2 linked regions of the Caenorhabditis elegans genome follow. The protein of the gene in region 2 interacts with the protein of the main gene of each other region in a pairwise test. Each region holds a gene or a part of one and is shown on either strand. Other genes may lie near its edges.

The links. Proteins that work in one complex are often made in the same cells at the same time.
Region 1: the proteins of C17E4.2 (region 2) and mig-32 interact in a two-hybrid assay, tested with the Caenorhabditis elegans proteins (one large-scale study listed by BioGRID).

What each region holds. Positions count from the first base shown.
Region 1 is NC_003282.8:12,088,751-12,093,973, reverse strand, and holds mig-32 (Polycomb group RING finger protein 3 homolog mig-32), read left to right. Parts: upstream 1-1,760; coding exon 1,761-2,759; intron 2,760-3,534; coding exon 3,535-4,010; intron 4,011-4,324; coding exon 4,325-4,499; 3' UTR 4,500-4,688; downstream 4,689-5,223. Other genes in the region: cpsf-4 (Cleavage and polyadenylation specificity factor subunit 4), read left to right, coding at 559-681, 731-1,369, 1,416-1,562; F11A10.6 (Transmembrane protein 115), read left to right, coding at 4,952-5,063. UniProt on the Caenorhabditis elegans protein: Component of a Polycomb group (PcG) multiprotein PRC1-like complex, a complex class required to maintain the transcriptionally repressive state of many genes, throughout development. Required for ubiquitination of histone H2A.
Region 2 is NC_003279.8:9,410,530-9,413,770, forward strand, and holds C17E4.2 (Cilia- and flagella-associated protein 157), read left to right. Parts: upstream 1-1,776; 5' UTR 1,777-1,784; coding exon 1,785-2,369; intron 2,370-2,416; coding exon 2,417-2,509; 3' UTR 2,510-2,693; downstream 2,694-3,241. Other genes in the region: C17E4.19 (uncharacterized protein), read left to right, coding at 85-537, 723-836.

The DNA of each region.
Region 1 (5,223 bases), on a different chromosome or scaffold from region 2:
ATTTTCATATTCGCAGCCTTAGTCTTTTTGAATTTACAGATTATTTTACGCTTGGTCGCTAATATATTATTTAAAACATATGTTTCTAATTTGAGTTTACTTTTGAAAGTTTTAAATCTAGAATAAACATTTTTAGTTAGAAAAAACGTTTTTTAATCAACCTATATCAAAATGCACGTAAGAATCGTGTCAATTTTCAATTCCGTTAGCTCAGGATTTTGCAAAACGAGAAAGGAATAAAACAGTTTCATCGGATAAAACAAATTCAATTTTTAATTTAAATTAAAAGAGTTTGAAATAAAAATAGAATTTATCGAACAAAAGTCGATAATTGGAAAACAATTGAAACTTTGTACGCAATTATTTGAAATCTGTGCAATCACCGTTGCTTACCGTAGTCGTGTAGTCCTCTCGGACAACTTTGATGCTTGGCTGATTTTTATTTCTGGAGTTTTTTTTTGTTTCTCCGGAGAAACAAGTTGATTAATCATTACTTTTTTAGTCAATCAATTATTATTTTATTCTCAGATGATTGTGGTGGCGCAGCATGTTCCGGATATGCAGCTAAATCCGATGCAAAGATTATTCGCTCCTCAAACCATGACAGATCTTGTTTCGAATATTACCGCTCCTATGACTGATGTGGAAGAAGCTTTGTTCAATCAAAGAGGAATGAAAGAGGTACAATTATTCTTCCAGTATAAAATTACAACACATATTCAATTTTCAGGCTCCCTTTCGCGATCTGGATCGAAGTGGAAAAGCGGTTTGTAGGAAAAACAAATTAAAAATGTGTCCATTCGGTCCAACATGCCCTCTTCGTCACATCGATGGAGAAAAAGCTGTCGTATGTAAGCATTGGCTTCGTGGTCTTTGTAAGAAAGGAGATCAATGTGAATTCTTGCACGAATATGACCTCACAAAAATGCCCGAATGCTTCTTCTTCTCTAAATACAGCGCGTGCAGCAATCGAGAATGCCCATTCCGACATATTGATCCCGAAACGAAAATGAAAGACTGTCCATGGTACGATCGTGGATTCTGCAGGCATGGACCATACTGCAAACATCGCCATCGTCGTCGTGCAGTCTGCCCCAACTATCTCGCCGGATTTTGTCTACAAGGACCAGATTGTCAATATGCTCATCCTTCATTCGGTCTGCCATCATTCGAGAATATAGCTGTCAGTCATGCCAAACCAACATACAGTCAAGCTATTACTTGCCACAATTGTCATGAAAGAGGCCACAAGGCAACTACATGTCCACATCTTCCAGGACAAACAAGACAAAATCAAGATCATCACCATCGTGTTGATCTCTCACTTATACCAGATAAAAAGAATCTATCAGATGTTACTTGTTACAAGGTAGGTTCATTTTAATCATAAAAAAAGTAAAATAATTCAATTTTAGTGCGGAGAGAAAGGTCACTACGCCAACAGATGCCACAAAGGAGCTCTCGCATTCTTGTCAAATACTGCTCACCTGGCTCACGAACAAAGAGAAAAAGATGAAAAAGAACAAGGAAGGATCAATAATATGCTAAGGCCGCCAATGTGAACATTGTCGAATATAGGAGAACGGGTGGAATCTGTTATTTTTGTTGTTTGTCAAGAATTCGAGACTGTTGGAATAAAAATTTAACCTTCCAATTATTTAATTTGTTGTTTTTTTAATATTCTTGGTTTGAAACCACAATTTTACTGATTAACATTACAAATTTATTTTATAGAGTTATATTAAGCTAACATTATTCAGATGACTCGAAAAAGACCAGCTCTTGCAGAACCGGTTTCATCTTCTCGATCACGGGTAACGAGAAGATCAACAACAGGTGCACCTTCTTCAAAAAAGAAGCGTTCACCTGAACCGGAATCTGATGCAGATTCTGAAGATGATTACGATGGCCCATCGACATCCCAAACCAAGAAATTGAAGCGGGGAAATTCATCGACGAATCGCGGAAAAGCAGCTAATAAGACAAAACGAGGATCTTTTCAAGTTAAACAAGAAATCATGGATGACGATGAAAATGAGGAAAAAATAGATGGAGAAGTAGAGAATGGTATAACATCCAGAGAACATTCACCTGATCCATCTACGTTCAAAAAGACAGCGAAATTACAAACTAAGAAGAAAAAGAAAAAAGAAAGCCCGCCGGAAACTCCACCAACATCACCAAGTCCATCACCATCGCGTTCGGTGTCTCCGTCTACAACAAAATCAGATATTTCTTCGAAAAAAGGACGCAAGGCTGTTGTAAATTCAGTATCAAAAGTGAAAATCGAAAAAGAATCTACACCAGTAAAAACGAATGGAAGAAATTTACCTCCTAAACGAAAAAAGAAGCCAGTTGAAGAAGAAACTGCAGAAGAAATTAAACTTCGTGAACGAGCTGAACGTAAAGCGAGGAGGATAGAAGAAGCTAAAAATCGTCCGAAACTAACTATTGAACAAAAACTGGCAAAACTTCGGAAGAAAAAAGAGCGAAGAGAACGGAGAAAAGAGCAAGAAAAGGAAGAATCGATGCGGCAGAAATATGGGCAACGAAAAATCAAAGCAGAAGCCAGTAAATGGAATTTTGGTCCGATATCATCGATTAATCAACGAAGGAGGGACGAAATGATGGCTTATTTTCCAAAAGCGAATTTTTTGGCCGAAGATGGTGTACCAAAAGTGATGAACAATTTTCGAAGAGCAACAGTGAAATATAATATGGAAGTTTTGAATCCATTCATTACGTGTGGAATTTGTGATGTGAGTTTTTAGTTTTAATTTATAAGTCCAAATATTTAAAAAAAAAACCAGATCATAAATTAAACTTTAAAGATCGGTTAAATTTTTACTTTGAATTTGAAGTTTTCTGAATTGAATTATCAGAAATTTCTGTATTTAAAAAAAAAAGATTGAAATAAAAAAAAATTGAAAAGAATTAGGATTTCTTGATTAAAAAAAATTACATCGTGTTTGTGAACCAGAATAAAAGAGAATAATAACCTCTCGAAGTGTTTTTCGGTAATTTTTAGTGCAATTTTTGAAAAAAATAGAAATTTTGGAAATTTGATCACTTTTTTGGATAATCTGAATTTGGAAATTACCAACACAAGTTAAAAATTTATTCAAAAAATTTTATAACTTTCCTTGAGTTGTTTGATCTCCTCTATTCCATTTTTTGTAGAAAACTAAACAATTATCGCACAAATCTCTGTTGATTTTTCTGGTTTTTCACAAAAAAATACTTCAATCACAAGCAAAGGCATTAAACTAAATGGAAATCACCATAGGAAAAAATTATATAAAAAAACTAATAAAAGTGAATTTTATTCCTACAGTCTTATAAATACAGAGTGCTTGGCGAGACAAAATTTGTATAATTTGCTTCCCTGGAAGCCCATGAAAAGGAAAAAAGATAACGAGGTTCCGCTACAAAATCATTCTCATTTCTAGAAGTTTTCGTTACGATCTAGACTTTAAATCTAGATGCATAAAATCAAAAAACCCATATTTCAAGAATTTAATTATATATTTTCAGGGCTACATCGTAGATGCAACAACAATAATTGATTGTATGCACACATTCTGCAAGAGTTGTCTTCTAACATATTTTGAATCGGATAACAACACGTGTCCAACATGTGGAACATTTATTCATGGATCTCATCCAACTCATTACGTGACTTATGATCGAGCAGTCAATGAACTTGTCAATCAATTTGTGCCAAAAATGGAGAACAACGAGTTGGACGTACGGAAAACGTTTCTAAGAGACTGCCGAGAAGCTCTAGGAATTGATACGGCAGCCGAAGATCGCGAGAGAAAAGAACGACTGGAAAGAGAACGAATAACTGGGACAAATAGATGTTATCCATTGGAAAGGCCTAGATTCTCACATCATAGAGATGATTGTCAAGTGACTGTTAATCTACTCCCCGGGACTGCTAATCTACCTCTTATCACTCGACCGTATGTTCGGTGCAGTGAGATGACTACTATGAATACTTTGAAAAAGTAAGGTTTTTCAAGTTGTATTCAAATTTTGGTTTTTAAAATTTTATCGTGATAACATAAAAGAAAAAATTAATTAAATTTGAAACAATATGACGATTTTGACTGATCTCCTCAGTTGAATTTCCGCGCATTATTCTCCGAAACCACGCCTATTTTTCCGTGCCGCACTTTTACTTTTTTTCAATTACAACTCAAAGTTTTGGTATTTCTCCGAAATTTCAAAAACAAATTTTTTCTAGATGTAAAAAAAATATTTATTTCAGGTTAAAAATTTTAAGGAAATTAATTTTTTTATAATTTTCCTTCTTTTTCAGATTCCTATCTCTTCAAATATGGGACGATCAGAGCCGGTATTCTGATTTAGACATGTTTTGTGACGGACAACTCATGGGAAAAGACTTTTCGGTTCGCTTTGTTTGGATGATGAAGCGCCGTGGTCAACCCAAATCTGAACCACTTATAATTCGATATCATATGACGAGAACATGATCTTCTTCTATCGATTTCTTCTTTCTTCTGAACTTCTCAAGAACAAATTCCCAGTTTTACCATGTTTTAGTACTGTACCATGTATCTCTATCTCTATATTTTGTCTCATTTCCTATGTTTTCATATTTATTAACTGCATTTTTTTTTCAAAAACAACCAAACCCCAAGATGAATAACACGTGTCTAATTAAATTTTTTTGTTGGTTTAAAATTTCTTCGATTTGAAAAACGTGAAGTTTCTTCTTCTGGAGAGAGATTTTATCGTCACCTTCAAAATATCCGCTTATTTCCTGTTTTCACCAGCCACATTTTGTTCTGCTTTTCGATAACATAGTGTTGGTAAGTGAGAGAGTGAAAGAGAAAGGTTCTCAGTGGGGCGCACTTGACGAATCCAGCTCACAGCGTTTACACCATTCCTTTGAAAGACATTGCCGAGTGGATTTGCAGACAAAATGGGAGTGAAAGCTGTGCTTGGCGATCTGCAAATCGTCGTGGAACGGCATTCAGACGTCTTACGGAATAATGCGTTACCGTTCAGATTTCTTGTTGTGCTACGAATTATTGGTGAGTTTTTGCCAATAATTATTATTACCCAGACGTGAGATTTTGCGATTTTTGGGCCAAAAATACCGTATCTGGTTTCAGCACGGCAAATAAAAATGCGTGTGCGCCTTTGAAGTGTACTGTAATTTCAAAGTTTTAGTTGCTGCGGAACTTTTATCGG
Region 2 (3,241 bases):
TTTAACTTTTCAAAAGCAATTTTCCGGCTTCTCACTTTTTAACCCATTATTTGCATAACACAGAATCTTTAACATTTTTCAGACATGGCTTCCGAGTGTAAATCTTGCGAAAATCTCGTGGATCATATTAAGGAAGAGATGTTTCACATTGAGGAGCTAAGAAGTGAAATTGAACAACTTGAACAATATATTCGGAATCTTCAAATCAACTTTGAGAAAATTCAAACTGAAAATGAAATTTTGAAGACACAGTTGGAAGAAAAAGAAACGGAAGCTGAGGAAAGTCAACGACTTCTTGATGTAATCCATAAAGATCGTGATGAATGTATTGAAGAAAAAATGAAAGTTTCAAGATTTTATCGAAATGAAATCAAGAAGGTTATAGAAGAAAATGAAGCTCTACGCAAAGAAAACAATAATTTAAAAGATACATATAACAATGAAAATATCGCAAAGATCGGGAAAAATTTGGATAAATTACAAGAAGTTAAGACAGACATTTGCAAAAATAAAATCAAATTGAAAGAGGTTGACAGTGTAAGTTGGTTTTTGTTGTAAATAGAAATTCTATCGATAGATATTCTGGAGTTTGCCATGAAACTTTTATAGTGCCTAATTTTGGAAATTTGTCGAACGGAAGAGATATCGTAAGCAACGGCGTCTTCCATCTTCGTTGCAAATTTTTTATTTTCAAATTCCTCTATTCAATTGTTTCATTTCAGATCACAACGAATGCATCCGTAACTATAAAAAATCAGAAGATTGAATTATGTGAAATGGAGAAGAATGAGGATGAACTGTTTGAAACCTTCGAGTATATCGAGATAGACCAGTAGCATGGAATTCAAAGTTATTCGTTTTGAATTGCTAAATTCAATTTTTTTATTCAATTGTTATCAGAAGCTGTATAAATTAAAGAATTTATGATAGTTTAAAATAAGAACTGATGGCACGAGGAGAATATCATTATGACATGTCTTAAATTCAACTATTTAAATTTATTCATATTTATATTATATGTAATTCACCTAACTCTTGAATTTGATACCACATAGTTAATCAAAAAGTATATACATCTACCTATTTCAATTGTATTCGATTGTGGACAATATCGTATGACTTCCATACTGTCGAAAATGCCTACTTGGTCTTACCCGTTGTTTCACAACAGGTCTCTTTCAAGATGATGTTCCATGTCGTACTGAAAACTGATTCAATTTTTATTTTCCAGCAAAATATAAAAGTTCATGAAGCCCCAAAAAAGTCACTGATTGTCATTTATGGACAAACAATACATAACTTATGCCTTTGATTAGTTAAATTTTTATTTTGCTCGAGATACTCCCCCTTCAGATGTTTTTCCATTTTATAAATTGTATTAATCCCAGTAATTTACTATCACTCAATACTCTTTTTTTTTACAAGATATTGGTTCTTCTATTGCCCTTCTATTGCCCAATTGGCTCAAATGGCTCCTCAATACAAGGTCAGCTCATCGATTTCAGACAAATAACACAGTACAATTAGCACCTGGAGGCAGACAATGGAAGATAATACTTCCCAAAAGAAAGCTGACTTTTGGGAAAGGGGAGTACGGTAAGACAATGTTGAAACGCCTAGAAACCCGCTGGAATTATAGATATTTATTATTGTCTGAGAAGGACAGCTGTTTTTTCTCCAAGGTAGGCCTAAGGCCCGATTCTCCAAGATAATTGCTCCTGTTTTGTTTGAATTTCGTCCTTCACCGTACATAGTTTTTTTTCAAAATTAAGTTTCGTTTCCAGATGAATCCCAAAATCTCTGTCTACGAAAATTCCTCCAACACTTTGGAGCTGACCCAACTAAAAGCAGAAAACGAATTTCTGAAGCATGAGCTCGTGGAGCAACGAAACATTTTCGAGTCAATGCTCGGAAAAGAAAAGTTTGACTTGACTTTGGAGATCATGCTTTTGAAGAATCAGGTCGAGGAATCGTTCAAGGAAAAGAAGATGATTTTGGCTTTTTTTGATGAAAAGGACAGCGAGAAGGAGCAAATGGTTTTGAAATTTACCAGAGAAATTGATGAGCTCAAGGAAATCATCGAAGACAGTGTTTCGGATAAATTGGACTACAATGAAGAGACAAAAGCATGTCATTCGGAAATTGAAAGACTTGAAGATGAATTGAAAAACCGCAAGAGGGATCTTAGACGAAGTGCACGAGAAATGAAAGCAATGGAATCTCAAAAAGATTATTTGATGACAGAGTGTGTACAGCAAAAGCAGGCGATGAAACGATTGGAATCTAAAAATCAAAAGCTTTTGGATCATATGACAGCAACTAGTGAAGGATATCAAAGATTGTCAAGAAACAATGAAAATCTTCTGAAGGTTAGTTCTTGCGATCTTGTCATTTTCAATATTAAGTCAACTTTCAGACGAATGCATTGTTGAATGAAATGATCGGCAGATTCATGGCTCGAGATCAACGACAAGTTCAGGAAGAGGAAACTAGTGTTCTGAAAAAGTGATTTCTGAAGAACGTTCACAACAGCTTGCTCATCGCCCTTCATCGACTGTCAGACCAACTTCCTTTTGTAGTTTTCTAGTTCTTCCATCTCCCTGTAACTCCATCGATCATTCATGTCATCTCATCATTGTAATAATTCAATTTTCTAGAAATCCCTTTCCAGATAAATAAATGAATTAAACCGTATTTTATTGTGTATCTGAAAATGTCGAAACAAGCAGAACGTCATGTGCATTTCGATATCTAACGACTTTGATCTGCCTATTGTTGCAGGTGTTTTTTAAGAGCACCTAGATAACCAATAGGCCCACTACTCGATCGACAGAGTCAATAAAACGTATTGCAGTGGGAACAATTCTAAGAGGTCATTCACATTGTCCCCCAATCGGTGCTAACTATATATTTCAACTGCTACGTATAGCAGTAAAGAACATCGCCTTAATTTTTATCTATCATACACTGGCAGCCTGCCAAAAATGTTTTTTGGAAAATGATTAACCAAAACTTTGACTGAATTTTTTTTCAAAAATCTAAAACAAGTGTAAAGAGGCTAAATTTCTACTGAAAAGCGTTAATTCTTCTCTTCTTTTCTCCTTTTGTCTCTCCTGGAGAGCGTAAATACATAAAAAATTAATTTGAATTAATTTTTTCATTAAGGAAACCAACATCCTATACGACTGTATTCTTATTCCTGAAAAATTCACTGTCTCATCAAAAAAACCACAACTCTCAA